2 linked regions of the Mus musculus genome follow. The protein of the gene in region 1 purifies or fractionates together with the protein of each later gene. This does not show direct contact. Links are inferred from orthologs where the notes say so. Each region holds a gene or a part of one and is shown in the gene's direction. Other genes may lie near its edges.

The links. Proteins that work in one complex are often made in the same cells at the same time.
Region 2: the proteins of Tulp3 (region 1) and Ift122 purify together in Homo sapiens (co-immunoprecipitation; 6 studies listed by BioGRID and IntAct, counting the BioPlex papers as one, with this or other methods). This does not show direct contact. The link is inferred for Mus musculus from reciprocal best matches to the Homo sapiens genes TULP3 and IFT122.

The regions. Positions count from the first base shown.
Region 1 is NC_000072.6:128,319,002-128,325,581, reverse strand, and holds the end of Tulp3 (tubby-related protein 3), read left to right. Parts: exon of another isoform or gene 1-4; intron 5-61; exon of another isoform or gene 62-503; coding exon 504-602; intron 603-1,412; coding exon 1,413-1,584; intron 1,585-2,369; coding exon 2,370-2,503; 3' UTR 2,504-4,421; downstream 4,422-6,580. UniProt on the Homo sapiens protein: Negative regulator of the Shh signaling transduction pathway: recruited to primary cilia via association with the IFT complex A (IFT-A) and is required for recruitment of G protein-coupled receptor GPR161 to cilia, a promoter of PKA-dependent basal repression machinery in Shh signaling.
Region 2 is NC_000072.6:115,850,499-115,857,071, forward strand, and holds the start of Ift122 (intraflagellar transport protein 122 homolog), read left to right. Parts: upstream 1-3,029; 5' UTR 3,030-3,170; coding exon 3,171-3,211; intron 3,212-6,573. Other genes in the region: Mbd4 (methyl-CpG-binding domain protein 4), read right to left, coding at 120-341, 2,639-2,712. UniProt on the Homo sapiens protein: As a component of the IFT complex A (IFT-A), a complex required for retrograde ciliary transport and entry into cilia of G protein-coupled receptors (GPCRs), it is required in ciliogenesis and ciliary protein trafficking.

The DNA.
Region 1 (6,580 bases):
TTTTTTTTTTTTTTTTTTTTTTTTGGTTGTTGTTGTTTTTGTTTTGTTGTTTTCTTTCTAGGCAGGGTCTCCTTGTCTGCCCTAGCCTTCTGCATATTCCAGGCTGGCCTCAAACTCTCAACCTTCCTGCTTCAACCTGCTGAGTTCTGGGATTAAAGGTGTGTACCACCACGGCTGGCTTTCTTTTCTCTCCTTTTTTTCCTTCCTCTCATGACAAGGGCTCACTACTTTGCCTAGGCTAGCCCCAACCTCCTGGCCTTAAGCAATCGTCTCACGTCAGCCTCCCAAGTACTAAGACATGGGTGTGCAGACGTGTGCCACCACGCCTGACTTCCTTGTCCAGTCCTCGGTCTCTGTTTAGTTCCGGCAAGGAAACAGAACTGGTTTTGGCGCTCTTGGGGCAGGCTGCGTTATCTGTGCCAGAGGACGTTGCCCGTGAAAGTAGAACATAGTTTCTCTTTCCCTTCCATTTCCAAATTCTGCCCTACTTTACTGTCTTTCAGGAAACAAATGTCCTCGGTTTCAAAGGTCCCAGGAAAATGTCTGTGATCATCCCGGGGATGAACATGAACCATGAGCGCATCCCTTTCAGGCCACGAAATGTAAGTAAAAAACATTTTCCCAGCGAGAGCAGGTCGCAGAGACAGAAGGGAAATTACACTCCACCAGCAAAGGTCTCTAAACCACAGCAATACACCTCTTACGCAGTAACAGAGTACAGCAGAGACCAATTTTGAGAACTGCTTTTTCTGAAAGCCCAGGCTGGAATGGTCATCTTCGTCAGGAAAGCCAGTGCTCCCAATCACCAGAGTAGGATGTTCCAGACACTTTGATTTAAGAAATGCTAGAACAGCCGGGTAGTGGTGGCGCACGCCTTTAATCCCAGCACTTGGGAGGCAGAGACAGGCAGATTTCTGAGTTCGAGGCCAGCCTGGTCTACAGAGTGAGTTCCAGGACAACCCTGTCTTGAAGCCCCACCCCCACCTCCACCCCCTCAAAAAAAAAGAAATGCTAGAACATTTGAATCTCAAGGCTGGGTCTGGAGAGATGGCTCAGTGGTTAAGAGCACTGGTTCCTCTCTCAAAGGACCCAGATTCAATTCCTAGGACACACGTGGTGGCTCACAATTACCTGTAACTTCAAATTAAAACAAAAATCAGTAATTAAAAAAAAAATGTTAAAAAGGAATTCCACGGGTGACCAGAAGGGGAGCAGTTTGTGGGATGTAAAATGAATAAGAAAGAAAAAATTGAATTTAAAAAAAAAAAAAAAAAAAGACTCCTGGCCTGGCCTGGCCTGATGTTGGCCTCTGGTCCTCTGATTTCAACCTTTCTGAAGTGAAGAGGCGGGCCTTGTCCCTGCCTCTCAGGATTATGAGTAAATGACACAGTAGTCATTCTCCCTCCACACAGGAACACGAGAGCTTGCTTTCAAAATGGCAAAACAAATCCATGGAGAACCTGATCGAGCTGCACAACAAGGCCCCGGTGTGGAATGACGACACCCAGTCCTACGTGCTGAACTTTCACGGCAGAGTCACCCAGGCATCCGTGAAAAACTTCCAGATCGTCCACGGGAATGACCGTGAGTGCGAGGGGGGGGCGGGGCTGGGTGGGACTGGGGCAGACACAGAAGTGACCAGCTCCGGGGTGGCCCGGAAGCCAGACTGGAAAATGATCTCTTGGAAAGATAGCTCCTCAGGGTGAGAGGAGTCTTTCCGTGGCATATCAAAGGACTGTTGGGTGAGGCCATTAGGACCCAGGTGCCAGTGACCTCATGAAAGCCATCAAGTGACTTCAGCCCATCCATCCTCCGGTCCCGGTCCCACCGGCTTTTCTAGGCTTTCTTGCTGCCCTCCATGCTAGTCAGGAGTAATTTCCCAGTCTGAGGGAGAACAACAGACAGAAAATTGAATGTGTTTATCTTTTTGAGAGCTGTGATCCTCCTTCTCTCTCTCTCTCTCTCTCTCTCTCTCTCTCTCTGTCTGATTCTCTCTCTCTGTCTGATTTTGTGTGTGAGGCTAGGGCTAGTACTTCCCACATCCCAGGCAGGTGCTATACCACTGAGCCATTTCCCTGTCCCCCCCTCCCCCATTTGCCTATTGTTACCCACACCTACCTCCCAGTACAACCACATTGACCACCAACACAGTGTGGTTTTCAGCTTCCCTAATGCTGCGATCCTTTAATCGGTTCCTTACATCGTGGTGACCCCCAACCATACGGTTATTTTCACTGCTGCTTCATAACTGTAATTTTGCTACTGTTACGAATCGTAACGTGGATATCTGACATGCGGGCCCCGTGAAAGGCGTCTCGACCCACAGGTTGAGAACTGGCTCTAAGGAGTTCATCTCTTTCTGTTTGCAGCTGACTACATCGTCATGCAGTTTGGACGCGTGGCTGATGACGTGTTCACACTGGACTATAACTACCCACTGTGCGCACTTCAAGCCTTCGCCATCGGGCTGTCCAGCTTTGACAGCAAGCTGGCGTGTGAATGAGAAGCAGCAAGCAGGGGATTTCTTCACCACAGAGCCTTCAAGAGCAGAAAGCTGCTGCCTCTGCCCCTGCCCCTGCCCCTGCCCCTGCCCCTGCCCCTGCCCCTGCCCCTGCCCCTGCCCCTGCCCCTGCCCCTGCCCCTGCCCTAGCACAAGAAGAGCAACATTCTGCCCCTCTGGTGAATGATCCAGTGTGTGTGTGTGTGTGAATGTGCATGTGTGTGTTTGTTTATACATGCATACACATTCACACATGGATGCATGCTTCCACGTACTCGTTCATGCCTTCTCTGAACTTCAGAGACCTGGTCATAGATTACAACTTCTCATGTGTGAGAGATGGCTTAAAGCACAGGGAAGTAGACACCCAGGCACACTGGTGTCTCCTGATCGCACAACAGACTCTGTGTGGTGAGTGTAGCTTTCATGTGCTCGGGCACTTCCAACAGAATCAGGTTCTAATGATTTAATACTTGGGCCTCCTGTTTTGAAGGCCCTTTCAAAAGGGGGCTTTTCCCTTGGATGCCTTTAGCCCAGGAGCCTGCAGCCTTCCTCAGCCAATGGTCTGATAGTGTCTCTTGCACTGACCCCAGTCAGGTCCTTTAGCACAAAACAGCCATAACTAGTTGGTGCACAAAGAGTGTAGCTGTGTCCCAATAAAACTTTATTTACAAAGTGGGCATTGGCCTAGTTTGGCCTGTGACTCTGGTTCGCAGGCCTGCCTTGGCTGTGTCCCTGTCCTCCAAGGCTGGAGCATCTTCCAGGCTAGATGTGGAGAGGCGGGGGGTGGTTTACTTTTCAGTAGCAGCAGACTGACATTTTATTTTTATTTTTACTTTATTTTTTTTTCCCATGGATCTCTGTGTAGCCCTGGCTATCCTGGAACTTATTCTGTAGACCAGGCTGGCCTCAGAGATCCACCTGCCTCTGCCCCCCAAGTGCTGGAATTAAAGGCTTACACTACTGTGCCTGGCCATAGACAGACTCTTAAGAGGAATTCTTGCCGAATCTACTCTTGGTAGCTTTTGCCTCATGGAGATTATGGCTGCAGAGTGTCATATATCATCTTGGGACATGTGACACTAGTTTGTTCGTGGGTCTGAAAGGCTCTGCTGTCCCCAGCCTGCCTCTTGCTTATTCTCAGAGTAGGTTGGTGGGCAGCCATCTCAGAAGCATGACTGTGGCCAGATCTTCGGAATCTTTGCTCTCTGGAATCTTAATCTAGTGTCTCCTTAGAGGCAGCAAGAGTCTTGGTGAGGAGGTCACCTCGCCGACACTCCACAGGCTTTGCCTGTCAGCTTTGTCCTCCAGCCTCGAAACCTGGCCCACACCAGTGGAGACACTGCCCTGCATGCTGAGTCTTTGAGATCTTGAACATCTCGAACATCTCCCAGCGAATCATGACAAATTCCTCAAGGTCCCCAGCCTACAGTGTACCTGAACTTAAGAATTCAAAAACTTTGGGTCTACATTCAGTGGTCCCCCACTCTCAAACTGGCAACTGCTCCGTGGTTTTTCCTGTATGGAGGAGGTCCCTGCATCCCTGCATCCTGTTGCTCCATGCTCACAGCTGTGTGACGACTACAGCGTGAGATCTGGGAGGTGAGACCTGTGCTAAGGCCAGTGTCTTGCCTGTCCCTTCAGATGTCACTGTCTCTGCCTCTGGCAGGCGTCCCATCAAGTGCCTTGTTCATAAATGTGCTCTGAAACCTGACACACCTCTGCTTTCCCAGACGAGCCACCTTTGTTGAGTGAAAACTGCTCTCTGTCTCCACTTGAAGGGGGTGGGGCTATGACTTTCTGCCCAGCCTAGAGAGCTGTATACTCCCATTTCATGGACTCTGCTTGAGTGTGCAGGTTTTACATGAATTCTATTTATACCTTTTGTATGCCACATAAATAAAGATAATTTATATAAAGATGTCGCTTTCCCAGAATACCATCCCTTGGGTTTCTCCTGTTGTGTTCTTTAAGCTCTTTGAGCCAAGTAGCAGCAGAATTGGGTCTTTGGGGTGGAGGTGGGGGCACCACAGACTAAGAACCCAGTTTAGGAGGCAGCATAAAAGTGTCATACTCACGATCTTGGAGCTCTGCATGAATTGTGGAACTCAGCAGACTGCACTAGGGGCCCAGGATGGCCAGGCCAAATCATCTTGGACACTGGTCAGCCTCCTGGATCTAACAGTAAAACTGTGTGTGTGTGTGTGTGTGTGTGTGTGTGTGTGTGTGTTAGGATCTTGTGGCTATTCAAGGCTATACTGGAAAGCAGCCCAGGCTGCCTTTGAACTCACACCCCTCCTACCTCAGCCTCTAGCACTGAGACTAAGAGCTCTGTGCACATGTAATGGACTGTGTCACCTGATATTGATACGTGGAGAGAAAGTCTGCACTCACAGACCTTTCTAAGCTTTTACTCCTTGTTCTGGCTGGTTTTGTGTGTCAACTTGACACAAGCTAAAGTTATCACAGAGAAAGGAGCTTCAGTTGGGGAAATGCCTCCATGAGATCCATCTGTGGGGCATTTTCTCAATTAGTGATCAAGGGGGAAGGGCCCCTTGTGGGTGGTACCATCCCTGGGCTGGTAGTCTTGGGTTCTATAAGAACAAGCCAGGGGAAGCAAGCCAGTAAAGAATATCCCTCCATGGCCTCTGCATCAGCTCCTGCTTCCTGACCTGCTTGAGTTCCAGTCCTGACTTCCTTGGTAATGAACAGCAGTATGGAAGTGTAAACTGAATAAACCCTTTCCTCCCCAACTTGCTTCTTGGTCGTGTGTTTGTGCAGGAATAGAAACTCTGACTAAGATACTCCTGTTAGCAATAAAGACAAAAAAAAAAAAAAAAAAATCAAAAGCCCCAGCTGAGAATTTAGTTCCTAATAGCCTGATTTTTTCTTTTGCATAATTTTATATGACTAAAATTGTATTATGACCTTTGGGTTGTTGTTTGGTTGGTTTTTTTTGGGGGGGGTGTGGAGGCAGGTCTCAGTAATTTTTTCTGTATGGGTTGTTTTGTTTTTTTTTTTCCTGCACGTGTTGTGCACATGTGTGTCTGGTGCCCACAGAGAAGGTAACAGGGCATTGACTCTGCTTTACCTGGAGTTCCAGGTGGTTATATGCTATTGTGTGAGCACCAAGAATTGAACCCTGGTTCTCTGGAAGAAGAGCAAATGACCACTGAGCCATCTGTCCAGCCTCTGCCTCAAGTGCTGAGGTCCAAATCCTTTTGTAACGTTTTACCCTACATTCCGTGATAGAGACTTTCCTCTTCTGGTGCTGGGGATGGAGCCCAGGGCCTCGCACATGCTCAGTCGCACTCTTAGCCCCATTTTAAAGCAAGTCACTGAGCATGGTGACGTGCCTGCCGTTCCAGGCTTGGGCTGCTGAGTGAGGAGGCTCTCGAATTTGAGACCAGCTTGGGCTACGTAGTGAGGCGCTGTATGAATTTTTCTTCCTTTTTAAAGACAAGGTCTTTATATGGCATACAACTAGTCCTAGCTGGCTTGAAACTCACTGTATAGACTAGGCTGGTCCTGAACTCAGAGATCCTGCGACACTGCCTCTTGAGTGCTGGAATCAGAGGTGTGCCCCACTGTGTTCAGCCTCTGATTTTTTTTAAAGATAAAGTTTCATGTTGCCCTAGGCTAGCCTGTATCTATGTAGTTGAGGAAATACCTGACAAGTAACCCGTTTTGTAGGTGGCTGTGTTGTGTGCACATGTGCATGTGTGTGAAGGTACACATGCATGTGGAGACCCGGGGTTAACCTCAAGGGTCACCCTTAGGTGATCTTCTCATTTTCTGAGAAAACGTCTCTGTCCTGAGGTTAGGCTAGGCTGGGTGGTCAGTTGTACCAAGGACTAAGCTGGCTGGCTGTTATCACCAGGGATTAGCCTGTCTTTCTCCCAGAGCTGGGATTGCAAATTTCAAACCAGACTGGACAGGTCTTCGTGAGTTTGAGGCCAGCCTGATCTGTATAATAATAAGTTCTAAAACAGCCTGAGCAACGTACAGAGACTCTGACTTGAAAACAAAGAAGCCGGGCAGTGGTGGCGCACACCTTTAATCCCAGCACTTGGGAGGCAG
Region 2 (6,573 bases), about 12 Mb from region 1:
CAAATGCTTTATTCCCTGAGTCATTCCCTTAGCCTATCAACCGCAGATTCTTGCTATCCTTTCCCATTACGGACAAAAATCACTTGGCGGTATTGTTATTTTCCTTCCTAAATGCTTACCTGATAAAGTATACATCAAATTTTCCTGCAGTTTTCCCAGATAACCTTTGCTTCACAACTCTTTCCCATCCACACGGGACAGGCTTGTGGCCTTCTGTCGCTGTAGTACTAGACAGAGTAGAAGCAGTGGGCTCTTGGAGAAGGGAGCTGCGCTCACTGCTTATCACCAGGTCCTTTCCATCTTCTCCCACTCCTCCCAGTCCAACAGCAATATCTTCCTTGCTGGAAAAACAAAACCCAAGTGATGAACTTAAAATTGCTTTTACCCTGCTTCCTCAGTTTCTGCCCACAGCAGTATGAGACTGTATAAAATACAAATTAAAGTCAGTGAGCTAGTCTTGTGCCATGAGGATTGTCCAGCTCTAACAACTTCTTGTCCTTCAACATGAGTGTCCTCCTCCACCTTGATTTTCAAACAGGGTTTCTCTGTGTAGTCTTGGCTGTCCTGGAACTCACTCCATAGACCAGGTTGGCCTCCAACTCACAGAAATTTGCTTGCTTCTGCCTCCCAGATGTTGGGAAGAAAGGCATATACCATCACTGCCTAGCTCAACATGGGTTTTTAAATGTTAGGACTCTCCACACAGTATACCTGCTAAACTTTTTCTTAATTCACACTATAGGGATTCAATAAAGGATTCTGATAACAGTTGTTGGAAGTCTGAGATATGAGCCAGTAACTGAACTTTTCATCTGAGATCAGACAAACTGCTCAAATGAATCACCCCCTCTTTCCTGCAAACATGTAAGGGGAACACTTCACATATGTGTGCATTTTTGAGAACCAACAACTACCACTTTTGTAAAATAGCATGGCCCTCCAAAAGCTACATAATTTCTGGTAAGAACTTCCAGCTCTCTTTCAGTCTTGATTCTCATCACTTTGTGAGGTTAAAATGTACTCTCATTGGGTGGTGAAGAGATGGCTTAGCTGTTAAGAACACGAGCTACTCTTGCAGAGGTCCTGAGTTCTATTCCCAGCAACCACACGATGGCTCACAATCTTCTAACTGTAATCACATGGGACCTGATGCTCTCTTCTGGTATGCAAGACAAAGCACCCACACCCACACCCCATGTATATAAAACATATATATAACATAAATAAATAAATCTCTAAGAATTATTTTACTCTTATTGACAAATTGTGTGATAACAAAATCAAATCACCTGCAGAGTGGACCCCGAAACCTAGGCCCACCTAATACTTCTCCCATACTGTTATGGGGGGGGGATAGTTCCCACAAAACCTCCAGTGCAGTGGATCTCTTCCCCCTTTAAAGAATTTATTTATTCTTATTTATGAGCACCATGAAGGTGCTGAGGCCTGAATGGACTTAGATCCCCTGGAGCCAAGTTATAGATGGATGTGAGCCTCTGCTGTGGGTGCTGGGAACCAAACCCAGGTCCTACAGAAGAGCAGTAAGTGCTTTAAACAATTGAACTATCTCTCCAGTGTTTAGTACAGTGTATTTTAATCACTAAACTATACATTTTAAAAGTGAGGGGTTGGAGAGATAGCTCAGTGGTTAAGAGCACATATTCCAGGAGACTCCGTACCCACATCAGGCAGCTTATAACACCCTGCCTGCAACTCCAGCGCCAGTGAACCTGACACCTCCTCTGGTCTCCACCAACACCTACGTATATAGACAAACACATAAAGAAAAAAAAGTGGGTCTCTAGAGAGACCTTCTAACCCAACCTACTTTCTACAAATAGGGAAATAGGGACACTAAGCAAGACCTAGAGACTAACCACAATTAGAACCATGGCATTCTTAGATGGAATTTGGCGTTAGGTATCAGCTAGAAGGATCTTATAGGGAGACAAGGTAACTGAAACCTGAGGGAATCCCTACAAAACTGTTAGGTTAACAAAATGGGTCAAAACCCCAGCTCGCTACTTATTATTAGCTGATCTTCCAAAGAGAAAGTCACTTTGAGCTCAAAATCTCCGTTCTCCATCTGTAAAAAGGAAGTAGCATTAAAAAAAAAAAAGTTTTGTTGTTTGCTTTTGAGCCGGGAATCTTATGTACCATAGGCTAGCTTTGAACCCACGACGTACCAGAGACTCATCTTCAACTTCTGATCCTCCTGCCTCCACAGGCAGACGCCGCCAAGCCCGGATATTCGGTGCTGTCGCTCGAACCCTCGGCTTTGTGTTTACTACGTAAACACTACCAACTTAGTTAAATGCCCAGCCCTTAAAAGTGTTTGAGCGCCCAAGTTTTGGGACATGCAAATACGTGCATCATTTTAGCCCGGACACAACAGTAGCTTCCTCTGTGACTTGTCATAGGGCTATTTCTGAGGGTCCCTTCCGGCCCAGGCTAACCTGCTTGCATCACAAAACCTCCCTTGTCCTCCAAGCTCCCCAGTCAGTTCGGCCAAGGAATCGGGTACACCCTAGTCTTGTTCCCACAGGGCGACAGCTCTAGGTGCCACCTTGTGTTAAAGGTTAGGAAGACCCACACAAGAGCGACTCCTCTGAGGCCCGAGAGAGGTTTAATAACTTGCCAGCGATCCCAAGGCGGGTCTGGAACTAGGCTCTCTCCACGGACTCTGTTGTCCCCAAGGTTTGGGCTCTCCATCCCTGCTGCTTTGGTCCACTGGGGCGCAGCTGCAGCTCCAGGCCGAGAGGTGGAGTAAAACACAACTCAAACCACTGAGCCGAATCCAAACACCGACGTGAAAGTCAATCAACCCACACAGCAGCCTTCCCGCCACCGCTTCAGCTACAGATGCCACAGCCAGGGTCCCGCCAATCAAACCCTCTGTCGTCAAGACTCCCCGCCCCACCCACCTTTCCGGACCAATCGCTCGTGTCATACTTACGCTTCCGCCTCCTGCGTCCCTACGCGCCCGGCGCTTCGGCGGAGGAGGTGGGCTCCCTTTTGTACATGCGCACTTGGAGCTTTGGGAAACTCATGCGCGGTTCATTGCGCATGTGCGTTGCTAAGGGTAGCGCAGGTAGCTGAAGTGGTTTGTGGAAAGAAGCCTGTTGCTGCCGAGGCTGGGAGGAGGGGCCCGAAGCGTGAGGGAAACGGCGATGAGGGCCGTGTTGACGTGGAGAGACAAAGCGGAGCAGTGGTGAGGAGCGGGAACTTCGGGGATGGCGGGGAGGCGGCAGGAACCGGCGCATTGCCATGGCAACGGGCCTGCGGCCTGGACCGAGGACTCTGATTCCGTGCCTTCAACTTCCCAATGGAAGAGAAGCTGAGATTCCTGGAGGGGCATAGGGATCATCTGAGGGAGGCTGGAGCAGTTTATACGTCATCATCATCCAATTTCACTTCTCTCTTCTCAAAATTCCTCACCCACCAGTGTTTTCTCAGCTTCCTAACCATCCTCAAAGTGCCCACACTTTTGTTTATCTGACATTCTTTAAATTTCTCCTGTTTTTGTTGGTTTGTTTTTGAGATAGAGCCTCACTTTAAAGCTCTGGTTGGTCTGGAATGCACTATGTTGACCAAGCTGGCGTTGAACTCACAAAGATACATATGCTTCTAGCTCCCCAGTGCCGGGATTAAAAATTTTCGAGCAGGAACAAACAAAACGGTGTGAGTAACTTGCATCTCGGTTCTGAGCATTTCCACCTGAGCTGAGATCTACTGTGTCTGAAACAGGACATTTCCATGTACGGTCAGAGAAACATGTAAGATGCGATCAAGTCAAGACATCTCTTGATTGGGAAGTTTGAGGAGTATTTTCAAAATTAGTACTTAAGAGTGAGCTTAATTTAAAGCTTAATTTTAAATACTGAGGATTAAGGCTTAGTATTTAAGAGCACTTTGGATAAGTTCCAGGACAGTCAAGTCTACACATAGAAACCCTGTCTTTAAAAACAAAAACAAACGAACAAAAAAGAAAAAGAAAAAAATATATAGTAAAAAAAAATATTGGGCTGGAGAGATGGCTCAGAGGTTGAGAGAACTGTCTGCTCTTCAAGCGGTTCTGAGTTCAAGTCTCAGCAACCACATGATGGCTCACAACCATCTATAATGACATCTGGTGCCCTCTTCTGGCCAGCAGGTGTATATGCAGGAAGAATGCTGTATACATGATAAATAAATCTTTAAAAAAAAATCAAAAAGTGTTTTAAAAAGAGAGAATGACAATAGAATGACTCTGTCATCTTAATTAATTTGGTATGATTTGATATCCTATTCTATTTTGTCATTAAAATCCACCAGCCAGGAACACATTTCAGGAAATTCTGGCTTGACTAATTCTCAGCTTGACTCAGAGTCTTCTTAGATGGTCTGGTCTGTTCCCCACCACTGTCTGTCCTGAGACTTTTCCTTGTGAGACCTTTCCTGAGATCCTGAACGTCCCTCAAGGCTGGCTTTGGAGGAACTTGCACAAAGAGCAGCTAGTGCTGACATGATTCCAACACTAGCTAAGACCTTGTGCCCTTTACCTCAGTGTCTCTTCACAGCAGCTCTAGGTAGGTACTGTCATTATCTCCACTTTACAGATGAGAAAACTGACTTATAGAGAGGGCAGATAGGTACACATATCTGGGTGTGATGGAGCCAGCTTGCAAGCTCAGGCCACCCTGTTTCAAAGCCAGTTCTCCCAGGCTCTGATTTCAGTTAGGTGAGTCACGTGAATGGGTGGCCCTTACTTGTATTAAATAGAAGGGATTTCTGTTACTTGCGGGACATTTTTGTACACCCTGCTACTTGGAACGCATCACCTTGCCAGCGCCTTTCATTTTCATAAACACCTTTGAGGAGGTTAGCAGTAGGGTGCTCAGCAGTTGAAGGAATCTGCTGCCAAGGATAATGATCTGAGTTCGATCCCTAGGGCTCACATGGTGAAAGGAGAGGACCAAGTTGCCCTTTGACCTCCAAAAGTGCTCCATGGTACACATGCCTCAATAAATAGCTCAGCACTTAAAGAAGGCTTTGATAATACTTTTTTGAGACAGGGTCCCATGTAGCCCAGCTGGCCTTAGGCTTCTAGTTCTCCTGCCTCATCTTCAGCAGTGCTGAGGTAATAACAGAGTTTATTACTTGTCTCTTCACTCTAGTATAAGATTACCCACAGCCAGGGGTGGTGGTCCATGCATGTCTTTAATCCCAGCACTCAGGAGGCAGAGGAAGTTGGAGCTCTTTAAGTTTGAGGCCAGCCTGGTCTACATAGTGAGTTCCAGCATAGCCAGGGCTACACAGTGAGACAATCAAACAAACAAAAAGGAGCACCGGTGCACAAGGTGGCAGTCACTGGCAACCAAGCATTGGCTTCCATGTCAGAGCAATAGGGAGTAACAAGGGCTGTGGCAAACTGGAAGGCTCCCACTCTGCATGAAAGGGGCAGCTGCTGCTCTGCTCCTGCCAATTATCATGGGTAGAAATTTGGCCTAGTGTGTGCAGATCTTCCTATTTTTACCAGAAGCTAGGAATCTGCGTTTGAAGTGTGAAATGTCCTGATTTTTTAAATGTTGGCACCTAATTAGAAAAAAAAAAAAAAAAAACAAAGTAAAACACCATGTGAGCCAAGCAAAACATTTGCTGGTCAAATGCAGCCTGCTCTGCTCTGTTCTCAACCCCTGGCACAGAATTTTGTTCGTTCTGCTCTTGTGCTTAAGAGTCTGTTGGGTGTAAGAGTTATTTTTTAATCTGTTTATCCCAGAAGTCTTTTAACCTTGTAAAAGCAATGGCTGTATTTTGTTTCCAAATGTTTCTGGAGCCTTTTAGTATTTAGTGAGTAGATGTGTGTGTGTTCATGGAGGAATAAGTGAATGAAAGACCAGTAAGGACTGGCTACCTGCTTTTAGGGCTGTTACAGATTTGAAGCAGTCTATTAGAGCAGGAGGTGCAGAGATTCTGTAGGCCAGCAGCCTGATGATGGCTACATATGCCAGCTGACGTAATGGAAGGAAACAGAACAAAACTCACACCTAGATAGAATCCAGCCATCCCAGATGCCCTGACTAGCCCCGCCCCGACTCAGTCACAGGCTCCTGCTCTGTGCTTGTGCTTCTGGTCTGTTCTTCATCCAGCAAAAGAACTCACTCAGGTCCTGATACTGTGCTTCTGTTGCTCTGCTCCTCATAAACCCAGAGTGACCCCTTCCATGTCTTTTGCTGGGTGGTCCCCTGGCGTTCTTGCCTCTAGGCTTGCTAACATTTAGATTATGCCTTGGAGCTTAGCCAAAAACTCCATTTTCCTACCCAAAGATCCTTCTTAACTTATTCTTTCCATCTCCTCTCTCCCTCTTACTTCCCCTCCCCCTCTTTTGTTCTTTCTTTGTGTGTGTGGAATGTGCATGCATGTATGTATGCAGATGAACTTGACTGTGCATGGGCATGGGTAGGTCAGAGGTTGGCATTGGTATCTTCCTCTATTTCTGTCCACCTTATTTTATTACTTATTTTTTATGTTATGTAGGTAGGTGTTCTGCCTGCATGTATGCTGGGCACCACCTGAGTGCCTGGTATCAGCAGA